Danio rerio: one gene and its partners. The protein of the gene in region 3 interacts with the protein of the main gene of each other region in a biochemical or structural test. Links are inferred from orthologs where the notes say so. Each region holds a gene or a part of one and is shown on either strand. Other genes may lie near its edges.

Evidence for each region.
Region 1: the proteins of tbp (region 3) and btaf1 form a complex in vitro, tested with the Homo sapiens proteins (2 studies listed by BioGRID). The link is inferred for Danio rerio from reciprocal best matches to the Homo sapiens genes TBP and BTAF1.
Region 2: the proteins of tbp (region 3) and gtf2e1 form a complex in vitro, tested with the Homo sapiens proteins (3 studies listed by BioGRID). The link is inferred for Danio rerio from reciprocal best matches to the Homo sapiens genes TBP and GTF2E1.
Region 4: the proteins of tbp (region 3) and esr1 form a complex in vitro, tested with the Homo sapiens proteins (2 studies listed by BioGRID). The link is inferred for Danio rerio from reciprocal best matches to the Homo sapiens genes TBP and ESR1.
Region 5: the proteins of tbp (region 3) and gtf2a1 form a complex in vitro, tested with the Homo sapiens proteins (7 studies listed by BioGRID and IntAct, with this or other methods). The link is inferred for Danio rerio from reciprocal best matches to the Homo sapiens genes TBP and GTF2A1.
Region 6: the proteins of tbp (region 3) and gtf2e2 form a complex in vitro, tested with the Homo sapiens proteins (2 studies listed by BioGRID). The link is inferred for Danio rerio from reciprocal best matches to the Homo sapiens genes TBP and GTF2E2.

Annotation. Positions count from the first base shown.
Region 1 is NC_133188.1:46,115,295-46,119,360, reverse strand, and holds the start of btaf1 (TATA-binding protein-associated factor 172), read left to right. Parts: upstream 1-1,266; 5' UTR 1,267-1,551; coding exon 1,552-1,565; intron 1,566-4,066. UniProt on the Homo sapiens protein: Regulates transcription in association with TATA binding protein (TBP). Removes TBP from the TATA box in an ATP-dependent manner.
Region 2 is NC_133184.1:29,390,238-29,394,473, forward strand, and holds the start of gtf2e1 (general transcription factor IIE subunit 1), read right to left. Parts: upstream 2,801-4,236; 5' UTR 2,668-2,800; intron 83-2,667; 5' UTR 1-82.
Region 3 is NC_133188.1:27,610,667-27,614,635, reverse strand, and holds the start of tbp (TATA-box-binding protein), read left to right. Parts: upstream 1-1,169; 5' UTR 1,170-1,241; intron 1,242-1,682; 5' UTR 1,683-1,763; coding exon 1,764-1,817; intron 1,818-2,666; exon of another isoform or gene 2,667-2,751; intron 2,752-3,969. Other genes in the region: zgc:153169 (uncharacterized protein), read right to left, coding at 261-321. UniProt on the Homo sapiens protein: The TFIID basal transcription factor complex plays a major role in the initiation of RNA polymerase II (Pol II)-dependent transcription.
Region 4 is NC_133195.1:29,079,946-29,083,445, reverse strand, and holds part of esr1 (estrogen receptor), read left to right. Parts: intron 1-78; coding exon 79-417; intron 418-2,033; coding exon 2,034-2,172; intron 2,173-3,500.
Region 5 is NC_133195.1:17,669,755-17,673,254, reverse strand, and holds part of gtf2a1 (transcription initiation factor IIA subunit 1), read left to right. Parts: intron 1-1,220; coding exon 1,221-1,322; intron 1,323-1,399; coding exon 1,400-1,553; intron 1,554-1,635; coding exon 1,636-1,700; intron 1,701-2,567; coding exon 2,568-2,643; intron 2,644-3,500. UniProt on the Homo sapiens protein: TFIIA is a component of the transcription machinery of RNA polymerase II and plays an important role in transcriptional activation. TFIIA in a complex with TBP mediates transcriptional activity.
Region 6 is NC_133176.1:24,451,986-24,456,016, reverse strand, and holds the end of gtf2e2 (transcription initiation factor IIE subunit beta), read right to left. Parts: intron 3,269-4,031; coding exon 3,086-3,268; intron 1,339-3,085; coding exon 1,245-1,338; intron 1,132-1,244; coding exon 1,016-1,131; intron 890-1,015; coding exon 770-889; 3' UTR 501-769; downstream 1-500. UniProt on the Homo sapiens protein: Recruits TFIIH to the initiation complex and stimulates the RNA polymerase II C-terminal domain kinase and DNA-dependent ATPase activities of TFIIH. Both TFIIH and TFIIE are required for promoter clearance by RNA polymerase.

The DNA of each region.
Region 1 (4,066 bases), about 19 Mb from region 3:
CAAAGAGAACAGATAAATTCTGAAGAATTCATTGTTATTATTATTATTATTATTAATAATAATAATAATAATAATTATTACTATTAATAATTTATTATTATTATTATTATTATTATTATTATTATTATTATTATTATTATTATGTTTTAATTCTTTTTTAATGAAATGGCCAAATTGTGACCGAGGACAGTTGAATGTGCTGACCAGTTTTTTTTTTTGTTTTTTTTTTTTTTGCATAATAAATGACAGTAGGCTACAGTTTTTTTACTTTAAAACTTTAACAGATTGCAATTTTTTCCTAATGATAAATGATGTAATAAATTTGTATTTTAAAAATGAGTCTTGTTTAAATTTTTTATGCAATTTTTTAGGAAATATTTTAGTACATCAAAAAGTGTGGTTATGATGAGATCTGACTAGCTAATCCAGCAAAACAAAAAATCACTAAAATGCAGAATTTAAATCTCATAGTTAAATAGAAACTGAGGCGTATAACTGCAAAAAGGTCCACTTTTTGAGAAAAAAAGGACCACCATTTCACCAGGCTGGCCTACTATGATAACACCCAAAGCTAAAGATAAAAATGAAATGAACTGTATTTTATGATGTTCTGAGGAGTGAAACAGTTTTCAGGTACATCATTTGAATAATCAAATTTAATATAATGCTGCATTGTGTTTATTGTAAAGATGATTAAATTAAATTAATCGTTATTTCTTATGCATGAATGCTATTAAAATGCTCATACAGTACAAATGGTTTTGTTTTAGGACTGTTGGGCCCCATGGCTGGAACTGCTTCGGGCCCCAAATCACTAAACCCACCCCTGATTGTTTCAATATGTAAATATTTGGTCACCAATATTGACTTTAAACCTTAGAAATTATTTTGCAGGATGAACGTGATATATAATTTTAAGTGCACTTCTTAATCAAGCATCTTGAAGTTGATACTTGTCTTTTAGGATTTTCGACTGCTATTTATAGAGGATGACATTGATGCAAGTTTTATTATTAAATTGGTCGAATGCGAATGTGGAACAGCGACAAAAACAGTTTTATATTCAGCATATATGAATATTTATATATATTTTTACTGAAAAGAAGATGAATAAAACCCGTGTTTCCGGACCATGTTTTTTTCTCCTACAGTGTACTTCCTTTTGCAAAGTGCCTTGCGATTGGCCGGCCGGAGCCCATGTAACCAATCACAGCGCGCCTACCATGGAGGAAGGAATAAATGCAAGATGGCTCCTCATATAAAACCAGCCGCCTGGCTTCTCTTTTGTGATCTACAAAATTATTTCTCCCCGTTTGTTCGATTAAAATACCGTTTTCGGGGAAGTGCGGAGGGCTGAATCAATCTGTACGCTGGCGTGGAGTTACTCAAGCGTCTTCGGGCGCTGTGGGAAATATTTAATAAGCGAGCAGGCGGATTTTGAGGCAGTGCGCGAGATTTCGGGCCTGTCCGCGCACGCGTCGGTCAGCAGCAGCCGAACCTGAACCCGAACCCTCGGCCGGACACAAACCCGGACCCCCGAACAGCTCACACATGGCCGTTTCAAGGTGAGTCTATGGATAATACCTCATCTCCAGCAACCATGCCACTCCACACTTCAATTTGCTCATTCCTATCACTTAACGACATGCTATCCATCCTATCGTTAAGTAAAAGCGTCTGTCAGTTGAGCTCGGTCAACATTTTAAAACAAGGAACCATAATATTAAGTTACCTCCCAGCCAAACACTGCAGAAACAACCTACAAAATATGACACGTCAGTACATTTAACCGTGTTATTTTAGTGCAATATATCATAGTGGGTTACATTTCGGGCTGTGCGTTATGAATCCAACAGTTTGTGGTCTGTCATAATGGTTCCACTTTATCCTGGTAAATCTCCGGTTAATGTGTAAATCCACGGGTGATTAGTGGACTAACCCTGCAGTGTCATCCTTGTCCGGGCTGGGCTCTTGTCAGTGAGCTAAAGACACAGACTGAATTAAGGCAGCTCTCATTTCTCCTAATCCATCTCTTCAGTTGATGCGGTAGATTATTGTTCCGTTATGTAACGCTTCTGACAGGATGGTGTGAGGAAACCTGCTGGGATATGTGTATTTTTATCATTTATTTATTTTTAAGTAATTAAAGTTGTACACATTAAGGGATTCATTAATACTGGAAGCCTGTATCTTCATAGATCCGATCGGTTCGTCTCCTCATGGGCGGCGCCATGTTGATCACACATCGGTTATTACTACTAATAATGCCTAGTTAGTTCATAAACAAACCTAATGTAGTCTAGATCTTTTGATGTCAGTGTGTGAACAGAATCACTTGATTTTCTGGGGATGCATAGACCCTGAGTTAAAGATACAAATGAAATCAACTGTATTTTATGGTGTTTTGAGGAATAAAACAGTAGTCAGGTACATCATTTGAATAATCAAATTTAGAATAATACTGCATTGTGTTCATTGTATAGAGCAGGGTTCAACGCTAATGATTTTTTTCTACTGGCCCAACCGAGCCAGTGGTTCAATTATTTACTTGCCCTGCCAAAATTTTCACTGGCCCCTCCAAAAAAAAAGTTAGTACACTGCAAAAACCCACCAGTCAGTTTTATCAAATGAAATGAGTGTAGGTAACTCGAAATCGATTAATTCTACTCATTTGAAAAGAGTTTTGAACTCATTGTTGAAGGTGATGAGTTAATTAAATACCTCATTACTTCAACTTAAATGGAGTAAGTTTACAGTACTCGTATACATTAGTTTTTAACTCAAATGGTTTGTAGCAATCGGTTTCCTCAAGCGGTTTGAGTTGCCTTAACTTATTGGGTTTTGCAGTACTCAGCTGGTTTGAGTTCTCTTCATTTATTGGGTTTTACTGTGCTCAAATTGCTTCATTTACTCAAATTAAGTTCACAGTACTCATTTAGATTAGTTTTTGAACTTAAATGGTTTGTCGGTTTTCTCAAATAGTTTAAGTTACCTTAACTTACCCATTAGTTGCCTATTTCTTAGCTACATATTTTAAATGTGTCATCTAATGAATCTAGAAATTAAACGTAAAACATGTTAATAATTGTATAATGAGAAAAATTGTAAGCGTTATGCAAACAAAAAGAGCACTATGGAAAATGTGCTGGTATTTTATTGCAGTTCTAAATTATTTAACAAAAGGTGGCTGACTTGACAAACTGACGGCAAACTGTGCAAAACATTACTTCATTGGTCATGTTGTACTTGTGTAAATGTCTGCTTCCAAGATGTTGGAAACGGACGTTTTCTTTTAACCTCATCATTTGATGTTGCTGCAATGTTTCCGTCTCTTTGCTATAATGGGTGTTACCTGGTTAAGAAAAAAAATAACATGCTCATAACATCCAATCAGATAAGGGGAACCGAAAAGCAATATTGTGTTTACGATATCACAGAGAAGATAGTCTTAAAAGCACTGTTTATCCATTCTAAGACATTATTTTTATATTTTAAATTTGCATGCAATTGACAAATAGTCGCAGGCGAATTAAACTTTAATGGCAAGGCAGCACTGATCGGGCCAGTAACGATTCTGTCAACTGTCATGAGCTTCTCTAATGCTGGCCCGGGCCATTAGGCAGTCCTTATTGTTGAGCCCTGTAGAGAATTAAATTAAATTAAGCGTTATTAATGTTACAAACATACAATTTCTTATGCACTAATGCTATTAAAATGCCCATACAGTCATTGAGGTAAAGTTGATTTTTCTATTTGCGCATTCAGATTTTCTCCTTTGTAATATACTATAAATTCAGAGAAGCAGCCTAATCTTTGCAAACTCTAAATGGTAAAATCATATTAGCAGCCATTGACTATCAAAGTACAACATTGTTCATAGTTAAATAGCCTAAAGAGTGTTGTTTTGATGATATGTGTGATTTTAGAAGTATGGTAAAGGAGCATGTGAGCAAATGTGCAAATATAAAACCAATTTTACATTAATAATAGGGCTGGCCGATTTGGCCTTTAATAAAAATCTTGCTTAATTGAATATTTTTACTCTATTACGATTAATGAATAATTA
Region 2 (4,236 bases), on a different chromosome or scaffold from region 3:
AAGAATGTGCTGTCATAAAGGGTCAGTTTGTCTTTTATGCAAGACAGTGAAGAGTTGAACTTTAGGTTTCTTGGAGGAAGGTCTGTGAAAAGTAAAAAAACAGAAAATTTCTGAAAAATCACCTGCTTACCATATTTTATCCATGACATACAGAAGAAAAGATTAGTAGTTAATACTTACATTTACAAAACCAACATGAAAATAAAAAGCCATCAACCTTTTGATTTGATTGATGGATTGATTTATTTTTGCAACCCCTGGGGTGTTTATTTTATATTAAAAACACAGCACATTGATTTTATGGGACCAGGTTAAACTTTCTGACACCTTTACAGCACTCACCTACATCAAAAATATGACAATGAAAACAACAATGAAACTTATTTAACTTAACTTATAAAATCATTTTGTGTGTGTGTGTATATATATATATATATATATATATATATATATATATATATATATATATATAGGAATACTTTTAACTGTCAAACTGTAATATAGCGCCTTAAATCCCTCATTTAATAAACAACATCATAATTCGGTTGTTTGTTAATAACTGATGCTTTCAAGAGTCATTCTAGGGCTGGGCTGATAAACAATATCATATCAAATCGCAATAAAATTTGTCAATAACAATGATGAGCTCTGGACGTTTTTACTTTAATTGATCTAAGAGCCAATCACACAGCAGAAATGTAAACAATGGGAATGTAAAAGTGTGTGGTTATTAGAGATATTTTGCCATTGCTTTGGCATATGTTAGGCCTGTTAATGGTTTAATAAAGCTTTTAATTTTTGTGGCTTCAGTCATTGTTGGGGGTAAACCTCTCTTTTAAATTTGAAAGCATTAGCAACTTCTATTGAAATATATATATCGTTATCATTCAATATGGAAAATAATTATTAAGATTGCATTTTTGCCATATCACCCAGCCCTAGGTCATTTTCAATAGTATTTCTACAATCTTTTTTTTTAAATAACTAGATAATTTTACCTTAAAGGGCACCTATCATAAAAATCATCTTTTGTGAGCTGTTTGGACACAACTGTAAGTAAAGTGTGTCCACAGTCATATTGGAGTGATATAAAGACAATAGGTCTCTTTTTCTATTTCCTGATGTTGAAATAGCATCCAAATCCATCCCATTTTAAGACCCACTGCACTGTGATGTAGGAGCGCAGTTTTCCTGCCCACTGAACTGATTGACAGCCTCATATTAACATGTCATCGCAGTAACGAGTAAAATCATATCAACAAGATATCAACAAGAAGACTACACGCAAGCGATTTTACCGTCTTTATAACCACAGCCCCAGGTCAGTACAATTAAAAAAAGAAGACCTTTCAATCCGTTTGTGGATGTTAAATCAGGTTTATTTTGTACATTAACATAATGGATGTCCATAAAGCAGGGGATATTAATGTGTATCCTCCTGTCACATTTACGTGCAAAAACAGTGCAAAGTTAAATGCGCGCACTGTGTGTGTAGGCATGGGCCGGAATAAGATTCTGATTTTATAACCTTGGAAAAAATATCACTGTTTCACGATATTGTAATTATTCCTCCAAAATAAATTATTTTTAAATGTCTGGGACACAACAACTTTTGCCCCTATTGAACACAATAGATTTATTTTATATATATATATATATATATATATATATATATATATATATATATATATATATATATATATTAGACCAGTAGCTTTTAGTGTAGAGGTTCCTTTTTTGCTGGAGATTCTGTTGCCCTAAAAAAACTAACTAAAGTAATCGTGAAAAAAAAACAAAAAAACATACACATACCTTAGAAACTGTATAACTGAAAACATTACGGTTTTAAAACTTTTACTATTCACAACTGTTTATCGTCCCATCCCTGTGTGTGTGTGTGTCTGTGTAAACTTTCTAACAACATTGTGTGCGACTCATCATAGAAAGGCTTGAATTAACTCCACAACAAATACATCAAATAATCATTGGGAGATTTCTTACTGAAGTATTTCTCACAAACTTTACGGGAGATCTTTTTGTCACTGTGCTGTTTATCTGTCGCAGCCGAGGCAGAGATTGAGGCACACTCCGACAGGCACGAGGGAACGGTGGGCAGGGTGAATTGGCATTAAGGGCGCAGGCCACAAAAACAGCTACATTGTGTTCAAAGCAGAAAATTCCAAACTTCTAAAGGTATAATAAATAATCTGAGAGGTGTTTTGAGCTGAAACTTTACAGACCCATTCTGGAGACACAAAAGACTTATCTTAAATCTTGATTAAGGGGTAAAATAGGTGCCATTTAAAGGAATATCAGCTGAAGTCAAAACAGCAATGTTCAATTTGTCACTGAAATCTTTGTAAGGTTAGAAATGTCAGAAAGATTAGTTAAAGGTCTAAGATGCACCATGCAGAAACCATTATGGAAAACATATCAATCAGAATTTTTTTTACCGTGTTAACAGCAGTCATTCAGGTTAACATGGAGTTTAAACACGTAAATAAAAGGAGCTCATTTAAGAACGATGTCTAAGGGTTAATTACTTTAGAAACGAAGATAAGTTTATGTTGTCTTAAATTTGTACTTCAGTTACACGCAAAAAGTATGAAATAAATACGCTCAACGAAAATAATACAAAGCAATGTGAGAGTACAGATGACTACTCACCAGTTTCATGTATCTGGAGAGTTTAATGTAAGATTAACGCGATGATTCGGTATTTTGAGAAATGCTGTTAACGTTACATTCACACGTTTAGCAAAATAAACAACATGAAAACTGAATGAGATAAAATACAGTTCAAACCTTTAATTTTCCTCCTGTTTAGATCAGAGCAAGTTTCCTAGTTCAGCATCACGCTAACGTTTAGCGGAAATGACGTCCAGGATGTTGCTGAAAAGTCTATATACAATTCAAAACGCTTTACCAAAATATGTTGTGCATTAACCATTTTAAAATAATACATTTAGTCAGTATTTATAAAATCTTATTTTTATATCAAACTAAAAAAGTAAATAACAACTACTTGTTAAAAGTAATGTGATGCTGTGTACAATAAAAATCCCTTTAATTGTCTTTGGAACAATCCTACGGTACAAGTACCGACACTCGGCATGTAAAGTACACATGTTTATATGTTTGAATGAACGTATTTTGCTTAGACTTGTAAGGTTTAATTGTAAAAGCTTTTGTCATAGACGAAAGGAAGCCGCTTCCGCTGTGCTGCTTCCTTGTTGTTCACAGTGAAGACTACACGTGTGTCCAGAGAGTGATGCCAGTAAACAGAAAAAGAGAACAAGGAAAAGATGCTGCCGTGAGTCTGCCAGTGTTTAAATTCAGTTTATGTTGGTTGTAACAGGATAGGCTCAGTGCCATTAACTTTAGGAATCATGTCATTGAAATGTATTTTCGCCACTTAAAAACTGTCAAAAGTATCCCGTATTATGGTTCTCTGGCGTAGTTTAGTAGTGGTACTGCATAATAAAAATACTAAATTATATAATATATGATGACAATATGTGAACTGGAGTGTGAGGTGTCTAGGGGCCAAAGGCAGGGGCGGGATTTAACCAATAAATAAGGTAAACAGTCACTTAATCCCCCAGAGAATCTGGGAGCCCCCGATAAATGTATGGAAGCATAAATTATACCTACAAATTATGTAACATAGTTTACTATCATATGTTGGTGAAGGTCTAACAAATTTTAACGTCATTATTGCATGCAAAATTGTCCCCCGCCCCTAATCAGAGCAGTTTATTCAGGTAACAAAAAATTTAGTTTTAAAAATTAAATAGTTGATTTATTGTTTTAAATTGTGAATTTATTTTAAGAAAACAAATAATTTATAGTGTAGAGATTGTATTAAAATATAAAGTATTAAAGCAAAGGGCAGCACGGTGGCGCAGTGGGTAGCACAATCGCCTCACAACAAGAAGGTTGCTGGTTTGAGCCTCGGCTGGGTCAGTTAGCATTTCTGTGTGGAGTTTGCATGTTCTCCTCGTGTTGGCATGGGTTTCCTCCGGTCACTCCGGTTTACCCCACAAGTCCATAAACCTCTAGTACAGGTGAATTGGGTAAGCTAAATTGTCCGTATTTTATGTGTGTGATTGAGTGTGTATGGATGTTTTACAGTGATGGGTTGCGGCTGGAAGAGCATGCGCTGGCGGTTCATTCCATTGTGGCAACCCCAGATTAATAAAGCCACTAAGCTGAAAACAAAATGAATGAATGAAT
Region 3 (3,969 bases):
TAATACTCGTTGTTGTTGTTAAAAACTAAGTTGCCTATTACTTATACATGGCATCATTAAAATACATATTATATAAAGTCTGCTAAATTTTTTAATAACGTTATGCAAATAAGATAGATAAGGAGAAAGATTTATCTAACAACTGAATCAGTAATAAGAATAGTATTTTAATCCATCGTTCACAAGAGGTTCCAGCCGACTTTAAATAATAAAAGTCCATGCAGTTGGCTGATGATAGCGCAAACAGGTGTCAGATTTACCTGCCATTGCAGTTTCTACAACATCTGTAGCGTTTTGTCCAGCTAGCAGCAAACTTCTCATTCTGTCCACTGCAGGGCGAGAGAAAGACCATGTTCCCACAGCTGCCATTTGACACAAATGTATTGAAATACATCTATTTATGTACAGGAAAAGTTCGTTTCCATCGTTTGTAAGACTTTAAAACACAGTTTTACGTCCGGGGGTTATTAAAGCACAATTTCAAAATAAAAGTCTATGCGTTACAAAGACAGTTTAAAGGGCCATACTATGCATAATGTACACAATGTGTCATTTTTAAAGTGACATAAACTGACTTTTTGACATGGCCTGACTTTCAATAAAATTTGTATTTTGATTCAATTTCATACATAATTAAGCAATAATGCAGTGATTTGAATTAATGCACAATAATGTATATTGCAATAATACGTTAAAGATTTTAGATTTATTTATTGTAAAAAAAATATAAAGAAAACAATAGGTACATTTTTAACGTTTACCCTTTTTGCACAATAAAACGACTATTTCAATGTGGTCATGTCATTGGCCCAAGTATGAACATTTTCCTGCTTGTTATCATACTATTTCATAACTGTAATGTTAGGCAATTCAATCATAAATTAACATTAAAACAGCTGTCATAACCTTATTTAGCAATATGTATTCACCAGTTTTGCATTCTCTGAAACTATAGAAATTAAAAATGTAAAACAGGAAATACATCGGGATCATTGTTCTTGTTTACATCCATCAAAATGGTATATAAAATATATATTTTTTGTATTGAAGCATATAACTGACAAGCATACAGGATTATATGTAAAATATCACAAATTTGATTTGAACATGCGAGCTAATAGTGCACCGGAAGCGCATATTAAAGACGGCGGAAGTTGTTGTGAAGTCTCATGTTTTGCGCGCTCCCTGCGCTTCTGGAACTATTCAGCTCGTAGCCAACCGGTGGATCCTGCGAATTATCGGTTTGTTTGGCTGTCCTTTGATCTAACACTGTTTCTAGACGGAGAACTGTATTACAAGTGTTAACTGCTTGGGTTTTTAACGAACATATTAAAGTTAGCTCCAAAATTAGCCTCGCTAAACACGCTGTGCTGCATTCCTGTTCTGCTCACTATCACCTCTTTAACATTGTCAACTCTGTTCTCTTGAATGGGAATTCTATTATTTAGTGTTTCTGTAGGTCCTCGTACTGTTGGTCAATTTACGTATTATACTTTCTTTATAAATCCAGAATAACGTTACTGTGTTCTTTTAATTTAACGTTCAGATATTGCATTAAATTTTCTCTTGTGCATGTCTGTTTATTTAGGTGCACTTGGGATTTTTATAATCGTGTCTGCACTGTTGTGTGTAATCGGATTTTTAATATTTGTTAATTTGTATCTTTTTTTCGTTCATTTTAGTTTACGTCTTTTGGAGCCACTGAAGTTTTATAGGGAAGCCCTGAACCACTGCTCTGTTGTTTTGCTTCATAACCCGTCAGCATGGAGCAGAACAACAGCCTACCTCCTTTCGCTCAAGGTCTGGCATCTCCACAGGTGAGGAATGGATTGTTTAGTTAACGGGATTTTCCCAAAAATGACATTTCTTCATTTACCTATACTCAAGTGCTTATAAACATTTATAAACGTCTTGCTGTGGGTGAACAGAAAACAAGATATTCTGAAGAATTCTGTGGAAACATAAAAAGATACAGGAACAAACTCCAGTAGCCATTTTTTTTACATTTCAGTAGAGATTTGTAAAAGTTGGTTGGGTTGCACTATAATGGAAAAGTCGGATATTGCGATACTTTGTTTTTCTATGCTAAATAAAGCAATACGAATACCATTTCACAAGATGAATGAGTCTATCAGTATTCAGGTGCAGAAACTGAATAACCACAGTAGAAAAAAATGCTTTTCTTACACTGTCTTGTTTCCAGTCCAAATATAAAAAAAAATTAGTAAAGTAAAAAAATTGTTTTGTTTTCACTGTTAGTAGAAATATTAAGTGATTTTCCCTAAAACAAGCTAAATAATCTGCCAGTGAGGTGTTTTTTTCCATAAATTATAAATTTCGTATAAAGACTCGGTCAGTGAGGCTAAATCTAAATATTTTTCAAATTTGATTACTAAAAGTGCAAGTAAGCCAAAAGTCCTTAAAACTATTAAAAAATAGTCCTTAAAACTATTAATTCAGTTCTTAATCCAACTATGTGCTCTGTTCCTGTTGTCAATCTGGAGACGTGCATAAAGTTCTCTGACTTTTTTACAAGATATTAAATCACACCTCTTTCCCACCGACATAGATCATTCTGATTCGGTCCCTCCATCCAACAGTTTCACAAATTTTCAGCCTGTATCTTCTTCTCAGCTACTTAATAAAATTTTTCAGATGAAACTCACCTTTTGTCCTTCAGATGTACTGCCTTGCCGTCTTTTTCAAGAGGTTTTAGATACAATCTGCCCCTCACTCTTAGCTTTAATAAACAGCTCCTTAATAAACAGGGTTTTTCCAGATGTCTTTAAACATGCTGTTGTAAAGCCTCTATTAAAGAGGCCTAATCTTGATCCCGCTGTGCCTGCCCACTACAGGCCCATATCTAAGCTCTCATTTTTCTCAAAGGTTTTAGAGAAAATTGTAGTTTCACAATTAACCTGGACATTTTTAATATTCTAGACCCTTTACAATCTGGTTTTAGAGCAAAACACAGCACTGAGTCTGCACTACTAAAAGTCACAAATGACATTTTACTCTTCATGGATTCTGGATCATCTGCGATTTTAATACTTTTAGACCTAAGCGCTGCTTTTTATACCGTAGATCACAACATATTATTGAAACGACTTGAGTGTGTTGTTGGGGTTCAGGGCCTTGCCTTGCAGTGGTTCTCCTCATATCTAAAGGGGAGATCTTTTTCTGTAAATATTGGATCCTTTACTTCACCACCTAAACCTATTCATTGTGGTGTTCCACAAGGATCTATTCTTGGCCCTCTTTTATTTTCTCTTTATATGCTTCCTTTAAGCTCAATACTCCTCAAACATAACATAAGCTATCACTGCTATGCTGATGATCTCCAACTATACTTTCCAATCAAACTAGGAAAAGATTTATCATTAGAAAATATTTTCCTATGCCTTACCGACATTAAGACCTGGATGACAAATAACTCTCTGCAACTAAACAAGAATAAAACAGAAGTGTTAATTTTAGGTCCTGCTGCTACCAACAATTCAATTAAAACTTAGCTAGGAGCCCTAAACGACAATCTGCACAATCACGTCAAGAATCTCAGAGTTATCTTTGATCCACTCTTGCAGTTTGACAAACATGTAAATGCGGTTGTGAAGAGCAGTTTGTTCCAGCTTAGATTGGTGGCAAAAGTTAAACCCTTTCTTTCTAAAAAAGATTTAGAAATCGTAACCCATGCTTTAATCTCCTCTCGGTTAGACTACTTCAACTCTTTGTACATTGGCCTACCTCAGTCAACACTCTTTCGGCTACAGTTGGTCCAAAATGCAGCCGCCAGATTAATAACAGGAACTAAGAAAAGAGATCATATCTCCCCTGTCCTCGCCTCATTGCACTGGCTACCTATAAAATACAGGGTTGCTTTTAAAATTCTTCTTTTCACTTATAAAGCTTTGCACAATTCTGCCCCCGCCTATGTCAGCGAGCTTATTAGGCCATATACAGCTTGTAGAC
Region 4 (3,500 bases), on a different chromosome or scaffold from region 3:
TCACACAGTCAGCACAATATATTTGACCCTCTACAGTTTGAAAATTGAGTGTTATAGTGCAGCTGACTTGTGTTGAAGGTATTCGTAAAGATCGCGGCGGGCGTTCTGTCAGGCGTGAGAGAAGAAGAAGCAGTAATGAAGATCGAGACAAGAGCACCAGTGATCAGTGCAGCCGTGCTGGCGTGAGGACGACTGGCCCACAGGACAAGAGGAAGAAGCGCAGTGGTGGGGTGGTCAGCACTTTATGCATGTCGCCTGACCAGGTGCTGCTGCTGCTGCTGGGGGCTGAGCCACCCGCTGTCTGCTCACGACAGAAACACAGCCGGCCCTACACCGAGATCACCATGATGTCCCTGCTCACCAACATGGCTGACAAAGAACTCGTCCACATGATCGCCTGGGCCAAGAAAGTGCCAGGTAAAGTCCTTTCAGAGATCAATTAAAGTTAAAGGGATAGTTCACCCAAAACTGGAAATTTACTCACTATTTATTCATCCAAGGGTGTTTCCAGTTTCATTCTTCAGTTGAAGACAAAAAAGATATTTTAACCATCAACTTCCATAGTAGGAAAAAACATTCACTATGGCATTCAATGGTTGGAGGTTTAAAACATTTTTCAAAATATCTTCTTTTGTGTTCAACAGATGAAATAAACTCATAAAGGTTTGAAACAAGTAAAGAGTGAGTAAATGATGACGGAATTATCATTTTTAGGTGAACCATCCTTTTAATTGTAAGAACAGCATCAAAGGAAGGGTCTTTCAATATAAAATAATTCACGATTTTGCTTGTTTTTGTGCTGCTGTTTAAGCATAAACAAAAACCTTCAAAAGAAAGACAGAGCGACATTTTATTGGACAGAATTCGATTTTTAAGGCCAACAACAAATGGATGGTAGTGACTACAGCTATCTTTTTGCTAGGTTTGTGACATCACCAACCGTAAAATTTACATTACGCCCCCCCTAGACATCATCTTTCCTTTAATGTGCACTTAATGCTTAATGTGACGAATTAGAACACGCTGTGTCAATTGACCAATCAGAGCACATTATATATTTCTGATGGGGGGACAGGCCAAAAGATCAGTTTTAGGAGAACCGAAACAGCAGAATAAGAGTCAAATATATTAAATATTATCTTTGTTTGATTGTTTGTTTATTTTAATTGGAACAGTTTACCCAGTAAACATTGTCAACTCTTCAGGGATAGACGATTGATCAGCCCTTTAACTGCAACCACATCAAGTAACAGTCTTTTCAATCTGACGAAGGCACATCTAGGAAAGTGTCCTGGTGACAGCCTTGCCAGTTTATGTAACCCTGGCAGCAGGTTTGACAGCACAGGTGGCAGAGATTCAAATGACAAGGTCACAGACGCAAAGATAAAGAACATGACTGTTATTACAGTGATCTGTGCTGCAGCCTCCAGCTGAGCTCTGAACACAGATAAAGAGCTGCTGAGACTTTAAGGGAGTCATTATATTTCATGTTCAGTAGTCCTCATTACCCCTTTAACACACCTCAGAATAGTAAACAATTTGTCTCATCAGATTCAGTGGATGAAGTCCAATTCCATATTTTAGAATTATTTTCTGGTAGGTAAATATTTCTATTACTATTATTAGCACTATATATAAAATATAATACTGTTTTCTCGACACTAAACTGATTAGTTGTGTTTTCTTTGTATTTATGGATTACATTGATTATTGACATCTGGGGGAAAAAGTAAAGTCAACAGCACACTTAGAAACATGTTTTCTGAGGGAAATGCTGACATGTTTAATACTCTTTTATCCACTGTATATCTGTATAGATATTTTCAACTTCTTTTTGTTTCTAAAAATAATTTTGAATTCATTGGAGCACTGTAAAGCTTCTATATATTGTTGTGAGAAAACATGTCAAGATTCTCTGATAAATAAAAATAATTCTCTGAGGACAAAATATTTGTAAGATTAAAAAAAAATTGGATGCATTGTAAAAGAAAGTCTGACTAACCCTAGAGTTGTGAACATTCCTGTCTCACCAGGATTCCAGGATCTGTCTCTGCATGACCAGGTTCAGTTGTTGGAGAGCTCTTGGCTGGAGGTGTTGATGATTGGCCTCATATGGAGGTCCATTCATTCCCCTGGAAAACTCATCTTTGCTCAAGATCTCATCCTGGATAGGTACTGGATAATCCGAACCTCTACATGTAGGCCACTGTTAACATAGTAACAACAACAAAAGCAGTCAATGTAGAATATGTATTCCCACATTTCTGAAAACATAATTACCTAGTCCAGGAGTGTCAAACTCAATTCCTGGAGGGCTGCAGCCCTGCACAGTTCAGTTCCACCCCTGCTTCAACACACTTAAGCCACGGTCACACTGGACTTTTCTCCCCATAGACTTCCATTCATACACACATGAAGCGATCAGACCAAAAACACAAGCTCCTTCGCAGTTCACTTCGTTGAAAAATTCAAGCTTAGTGAACTCTGACCTGCGAAATTGCATCATGTGATTGCGTAAGACCAATCAAAAACCAAAACATGACCTCTCTAGACAGAAATTTAAAACATTGACCAATTGCTCGCGTTTTAATGTCTAACCATCTTGTTTAATACCGTCCCTTTTTGCAGCGATGCACGACAGAATTTCGCACACACAAACTAAGGTGACCGCTTGGAGGTTTCAAACAAGCCTAAAGAACTTAATTAGATTGATCAGGTGTGTTTAATTAGGGTTCGAACTAAACTGTGCAACCCTCCAGGAACTTAGACTATAGTAAAAATAAAACACAAATCCAATATAATGACACACTTCCAATCTCAGCATCATTTTTATTTATCTTTTTATAAATAAGTGTGAAAACAAAGGCTTTGAAAACACATTAAGTTGTTTTGATTAAACTGAGCGGTTTGACTGTTAAAAATAATAGAAAGGCACAAACATGTGACAACTGAAACCTGAGGGACGCCAATTATACTTCAACGAAACCCTGAGCTTTATTTTATTATCAGGCAGTCTTACTTCATACTGATGCTGTCAGTCTGATTGTGAGATTTTGAGATGTCATATTGACCCGATGCATTCCCTCTTATTTTTTGCCCCAATTTATTAAAGAACATTAAGTTGCATGCGGTTTTCTCCCCCGCAGAAGGCTGCGCATTACAAAACGAGATTGAAATATTGTGAAGCGAAAACTAGATTGTTAAAAAGGATGTGAACTGTTTACCCAAGAGCCTAGTGCTCCTCTTCAGAAGACCATGTCACAAAGTAGCATGTAATTAAAAAGGACCCAATTGGGAACAGGATCTTTAAAGGGTTTCCGAAAAACATCGCCATGATCACTGACTAAGGGAATATGAATTTAATCAAAACCAGCATCCGTATAAAGTAGCACTGTGAGCTTCAATGTTGAACAGAGCATCCCAGAGGATGAAGGAGAAAGATAAAACTGTTTGGTGAGAGAGACTGCTAAGAAAGAACAGATAGGATATAGAAGTCTTAT
Region 5 (3,500 bases), on a different chromosome or scaffold from region 3:
TGGATGTCTCATATATGAAATTACCACTCATGTGACTTTGTTAAATCAAATATAATTGTTTTAAAAACATCAACGACATTTGAGCATTTCTAAAGTACTCTAAAATACTTACTTAATGCTTACACAAAAAAATGTAGAAACAGTTTCAGTGTTTTGGTAAAAATTGCTCCAATTAATAATTGAGCTGATCATGAATAATCATAAAAGAACAGCAAATTGTCAAAATAGAGTGATTGATTTCTAATGTTTCATGTGACACTGGAGTAATGATGCTGGAAATTCAGTTTTGCATCACAGACAGGAATAAAGTGCATTTATAAATAACATTTAAATGTTTTTGTTTTTAATATCTCACAATAGTTGTTACATAATATATATAACACAACATTGTTATAATTTGATACAACCTTCATGGAAGTATTCACATTGTTTATAAATATGCATGTACTTGCTAATGGATATTTAGGAGTCAGAAATGTCAGAAATATGAACAAATCTATCATATTCTGATATACGGTATTTAGGGTTTCTGCAGGGCCTTAAAATGCCTCTCAAAATCCAAATTTTAGGCCTTAACAGTCTTGAATTTAGTGAAATATTTTGTTGTAGGTCTTAAATCTTTTAAACGGGTCTTAATTTTCCTTTGTTCATGTATACCTACCCAGTCTGGCCAAAACCCATACAATCACCAACAATCCATCTCAATAAAACTATAAACTTTGTATATAAAAAGGTCATTTTTAACTCTATCTTAACGATTTAAATATTTTCCTTACAATAACATTTGTTTAAAGGTTCTTCATCTATTTACTGCCGAGGACACCGACAGATTGTTGTCCATAGATTTAGTGTATTTTTTAATTTAAAGAAGGTTTATGTTGGGGAAAAATACAAGAGATTGTTTGTTTTTACACAATATTTAAAATATTTAGCTTAGAAAAAAAATAATACATTTGAATAGTTCATTATTGTGTTATTAAATGTACTGAATTATAGTTTTTTTTTTTTTTGAGAGGTCAAATAAAAAAACTTTTCCATCTGGGCCATTTAAAAATTTCCTTAGACTTTAGTGCTTTGAGTCTTAAAAAGTCTTACATTTAACTCTGTGAAACCAGCAGAAACCCTGAGTACTAAAAAGATGAAATCATACTATCAAGATCCATTCATAATATATTGTAGTTGTGTTAAAAGAAGTGATTGCATTATATCTTTCATTTTAGCCTAAACTGTATAGATCAGTGATGGAGGATGTCATTGCTGAAGTCCGAGAGCTGTTTCTGGACGAGGGAGTGGATGAACAAGTCCTGATGGAGCTCAAAACGGTAAAATGATTTAACTTTAGATGACGTTATCCTGCCTCTCAGAGAGATGTTTGATTTTCATATGGGTCTCTGAGCAGTTGTGGGAGAGTAAGCTGATGCAGTCCAAGGCGGTGGATGGTTTTCACACAGAGGAGCAGCAGGTTCTGCATGCTCAACAGCAGCAGGCTCAGGCTCAGCAGACACAGCAACAAACCCAACCGCAGCAAGTCCTCCTGCCTCCTGCACAGACCAGTGAGGCAGAAACACGACTTCAATAACAATGATCTTGATGGTGACGAATGAGTTATTAATGCAGATTTTACTCTATTCTCAGCTCCTCAGCAGCAGGTCATTGTTCAGGATGCTAAGATTATGCAGCACATGAGTGCGACGGGGATGGTAAGTCACGTTTTAATGCTTAGCTTGTTTATTGTTTGTGTTTTTTTTTACATTGAAGTCCTCCAGAGGTGGATTTTTAATCTGGAATCTGTTTTTAAAAGGGTAATGAATTGAGAATGGGCCCTTTTTCACATTTCCAGGTTTCTCAGTAGTGGAAATGCTCATAGTTTGGTGAACTCAGAGCGCAGTGAATGGAGAGTACAATATACCATTTTATTACAATACTGTTTGCTGAAATAACAAAAGAAAACCGCTGCGATAGTGTTAAGACCTTCAGAAAAAGGAAAAAAATAGTTTGAGACTGATAACAACAGCCAGAAGAGAGTACAACCCCGCCCCCATACACGCCTCGCACAGTTGGTAATTAGGGCTGTACGATTTAATAGAAATCATATCAAAATGGTGATTTGGACAAACATAATTTATTCCAATTAAATCCAATAACGCAGCCCGCCTCTTAAACTATTTCTCTAAGAGTTCAGAGTTCATATTCAAGTGCTTCAATGAGGAAAAAGGAGCTTCAGTTGGAAAAAGCTACCTCACTGTTCAATGAAGCATTGTTTGAGCAACTCCATATAATCTCACTAGCAGCCACAATTACTCACTATTCAGAAATCTGCAACTTTCATTAAAAAAATGGATTTGGCCCTTTAGTATCAGCTTTAATGGCAGCAGGAGAGCAGATGCGGAGGAGGGACGAGCCTTCCTGGAAAACTCGAACTGGAGACTACAAATTAGATTACTCTGCAGATTCCAGCAAGGATATTGTTCTCTCTCTCTCCACACCTCTCTCTCTTTCTCTGATCATTAATGTATGTGTGTGTCCTCAATGGATTCAATTCTGGTTTCAATCTCTGGTTTCTCTAGAGTGCAGCGGCCACGGCAGCAACTCTGGCTTTACCCACAGGTGTAGCACCATTTCAGCAACTCATCACCCCTCAGGGTAAAACATTTACACATTTACCAGAAAAAAAATAAAAAATTACCTTCATCTTACTTTAATTAAACCACATCGCCTAGCCCTTTTAACAGAACATTACAGGATGGCACAAGTTTCATTCCATATGTTTCATAATATAGAATGCTGTCTTCATATAGAATGCTGTCTATAGCTTTTGGTGCCAATCAGTACTGAAATTTAAAAAACAAATTTAGCTTATTGTAGTTTTTAAAGAGCTTATAAGTAGTGTTAAAAACATACGTGTGTATAAAACTTGGGTTGTTTGCTTGTTTAAGACAATATGCAAAATATGTGACTAAGAAAAAATTAATACATTTTTTTTGATGGGTAAAAATCTTTTGCAATAGACCAGCTGATCCATAAGTCTAAAATATCACCCATAATGGTCATATAAAGAATTAAAAGTCTTTTGGTGAAACCTGTTAAAACTCTGAGTTTGAATGTTAGCGGGAAATTGACGTCTTAATTTCACTACCAGTTGCTACTGAAATTCCAGTATCATGATAATATATGATTTAAGCTCAGCAATTACACTGGTAGTGCAATGTGTAAGTAACATGCCTGACTAAGGTTTTAGTCATGTTTGTTTCTTCAACTTGATGTTTAGGTCAAAGATATAGATGCTGAAGCCACAAAAAAAATATGAAAAGATGATTATTCTGCTTTTAACTACAATTCCAGCTTTCAAGCAAACATGACGAAAAATGGCTAACCATTTACTAACCCTTTACATATTCTAATCCAGTTTGAGTTATTTTTTTCTGTTGAACACACACAATTATATATAGAATGTTGGAAACCTGTAATCACTGACTTCCATAGTATTTTTGTTTTCCATA
Region 6 (4,031 bases), on a different chromosome or scaffold from region 3:
TGAATGAGAGAGAGTGTGATGCTGTCTGTGTGTGTGTGTTTATACTTATCTATTATATGTGTTGTTAAACGGGGTGGGTCGGGCTGCAGGACAACAAATGCTGAATATAAGTGGGAGCGGTGGGGTTCTGACTAAAACCTGGTGGAAGCAGGATACAAAATTTAGTCCCATGCAGATCTCTAACACAGACATCCACACACTAATAAACATTATGAAAACTAAAGTTTGTTGTAAAGTTGGAAGTTCAGTTCCCTTATTTGGTACCCCAGACCACCTCCTTCAGGTGGACTTGGGTACGGTTTGTTGTGCCCACTTGAATTTAGAAGACAACGTTCACACTAGCTAAACGTACCATACTCTGATGTCAAACAAAACCGGGTGCAGACCAAAAGTGCTAGTGTGAAAGCACCCTTAGTGTATTGCACCGGGTGTATGATAGGGCCTTATAAAGGTATTTTTTTTAAATACATCATTAATAAACTCAAAAAAGAAACAACAGATGTGGTTTGATTGCTCTTGTTTAATCTTTAAACCTAAAAAAAGAAGAGCTCAAAAGTCCATTTTTAAAGCACTAGCAAAAAGTAAAACGTAATGTTGGAAAGGAAATATTTACAGTCTGTTCACATTTGTGCCAACTCAGAACAGTTCTAAAGTTGTGTATGTGTATGTCTGCATATCTTTATGGTTGACAATAAGACGTTATCAGAACAGATATACAAACATCACAGATATCAGTCTCATCACTCTGAGCTTTTTACAGCTGTGTGTGTCACTTCTTTGAGGGAACTCCATCGAAGTAGTCCTCCAGCACTCCATTCAGATGGTCATTGTGAGTCTTATAGCGTCTCTTTCTCTGGGTTCCAGGTTTCTTCCTCTTCTGAATTGGTGTCTGTGACAGCCAATCACAAATCACATCAACCTCACACAAACATGCACGTAATAGCCAGTCTGAAGAGTGTGTTTGATTTTCTGTGTGTAAATGTTGATTTCTATGTGTTTGAGAGACAAATCGTACCATTTTCTTTGGTCCAGTCTCCTGCATTGATGAGATGCCCTGTTTCTTCAGGTACTCTTCGATCTTCTCCTCATCTATGGAATCAACAGGAACACTCCGCCACAGCTTCTGAAACTCTGGAAAATAAAAAGACACTGATATCCCAACAGAACATCGCAGGAACTCTTCTTTCAACAAACAGTAATGGACAAAAATGAACCAGCTTTGAATTGTGATGAGAGTCACATACCTTCATCCACGACAAACTGACAGTGCTTGTCATTGTAGAATAGAATCTTCTTCTTATCTGGTCTAGTCACAAATATAATCTGATCCCCGAGCGCCTGAACAAAACCAATTAAAACAAATTAGAGTATTTCATGCTATTAAAGCCTTGTGTTTCCATCTCAAACATTTATGATATATAAAAATATCTAAAATGTCAATTGATTAGCATTTCTACTAATGTGGCTGCAATCAGATCCTAATTTAATATGTGCAGGAATTATTCTTGATGAAAAGGTTTTTTTAGTATATAAACATGTTACACTGAATGACATTTATGAGAGTTTCTAAAAAAAATGAACAAATTAAAATAAATAACTGTATTTTTTGCAATCAAAGCCTTGTTATTTTCATTTTAAACAAGGTGTATATACATCACAATTAATTAAATTCACAATTAATAAGCTTTTTAGAGCTGCAATGTGATCCTAATTTAATGTCATGAAATCATTCTTTTTGAAATGATTATATAAACTACTGTCAAAGTGAATGACATTTATGTTGTTTTCTAATGCTGAAAAAAAAAGAAAATTACCTGAACAAATAAATAAAAGGGTATGGATCAGGTTTCCACATGGTATTATTGTGTCTTTTAGTGGTCCGTGACTACAAGTGGTCACTTAAGATGGCAATATTTTTTCAATAATTACAATACAGTTTAGCTGTATTATTTATATTTCTAATAATTATAGCCAAAGCAAAAAAAAGGCTACTTCACACCATTCTTGTTGACAGAACCAACTTTTGTGTATATACATAAATAAATATATACTACAATACATGCATGATCCTGGACTACAAAACCACTCTAACATGATCCAAATTCAAGTCTTAGTTTTGCAAATTACTAATCATTTACAGTAGGGTACTTTTACATTTACAGTAGACAAAATGTCTTCATGAAACATGATCTTAATATTTCAAAGACTTTTGGTATCAAAAAAATCTATAGTTTTCCTGGGCTCAGAGCCCTTTTTTGTGTACTTGGTAATTTAAAGAGCCTCTACTACACATTAAAAAGGGTCAAATTTACATTAAATGTTCCTGGGTTTGCGCATGCAATAATTGGGCGGGGCATAAGTCTCGTATCGACTCTTTTATAAATGCATCAATTGTTTTAAACACGGAGCACTTTCAGATTTAAGCCATAACTGGATATTTCACTTCACTTAGAGCTGTGTTACACACTACATGGAAGGTCATTGTCAAAAACCCATAATAGGGGCTCTTTAAAGAGGACCTAATGCGCAAAAATCACTTTTATAAGGAGTTAAACAAAATTGTGTGGAAACAAGGTGGGAATATAGCCAGATTTCAACTGTACAAAATCATTAATTAATTTCATTTTAATCACACTTCATAAAAGCAGTCTGCAGAAACACTGTCTGACATTCTTCCTTTGTACATCAGAGGGGGAAAGCCCCGCCCATTAGTGACAATCTCTCCATTATTAGCATAAACAGTTTTAAGTGAGATGCAGTCACTAATGATGGAATGGTGATGGTTGTCTGTAGCTCTGCACTCTTTTGAAAGGAGGGCTGGGAGTACATACTCATTTGATTTTAAAGAGACAGTCACCATAAAAGCACTGTTTGGATCAAAGGCTAAAAGGAGCAGTTTCAAAGAACTAAAAAAATTATTCATGGGTTATAAGATGCCAAAACTTTGCATATACACTCTAGGGACATCAGAGACTTCTTTTATATCTTGTAAAAAGGGGCATATCAGGTCCCCTTTAAATGTACGGTTTAGTAAATGTTTTTTTTTGTTTTGTTACTAATGAGTGACAGCATGATGGTGTATTACTTTAATAGCCTTGGCTGCATTGGGTAGCCCCTCTTCAACATCATCCAGTAACACTCCTCCGAGACCAAGCTGATCGTGTTTGTCCAGAAGTCTAAGCAGAGCTTTCTTATCCTTCAGATGATACTTGGGTTTAAAGGCATATTTCCCTTCCCGCACATCAATCTTAGGATTACTTGCTAATGCCTGGAGGGAAGGAGAGAGGGAAAGGTTACATGCTGAATTCTTGTTCGAATGTCGATCTTGCCCTTGAAAACATATATTGCGTGTCATTACATTGCTTGTTGGAACATTGGTCAATAAAAGTATTCTGCAGCATATAAATCCAAGTATTATATAATTATAATAATATTCTGGAATAAAAAAACATAAACATAAAAATAATAATTTAAAACCACAGGAACATAGCTATCCCATACTCTTTGTGGCCTTATAAATATATTTTAAAAGAAAAAAAAATTTACATACATTTTCAATTTTACATACAGCAATATCTGTAAAGTCAGATGTTTTTACAGACAGCTGTATGTTTGCTAGTGGTGTGCGTTATGAACACAGAAAAATATAAATATTAATTTTTTAGGGATTTTTTTGTATTTTGAACAATAATAATTTAAAATATTTTGTTGAGTTTGTTGTTATGCTGTTAAGGCCTATCATAGATAAAATAATAAACAGGGTTCCCACACTTTCATTAACTGCAGATTCAAAGACTTTCAATGACTTTTTAAAGCACCCTTATTTTGATAAAGAACACTTGTAATTCATACCCCAGTATTTGTAGTGCCATGAAAGTCCTAGGGTCTGTTCTTTGTACCTCGCTTAAATGATCTAAGATGATTTGGCAGATCCTGGATCTTTTAATCTTGATAACTGATCTCTGGCTAATTTGGTTCTTCAAACAAGTTCGCAAATCAGATTAAAATGTCTGGATGAACTGATCTGAGAT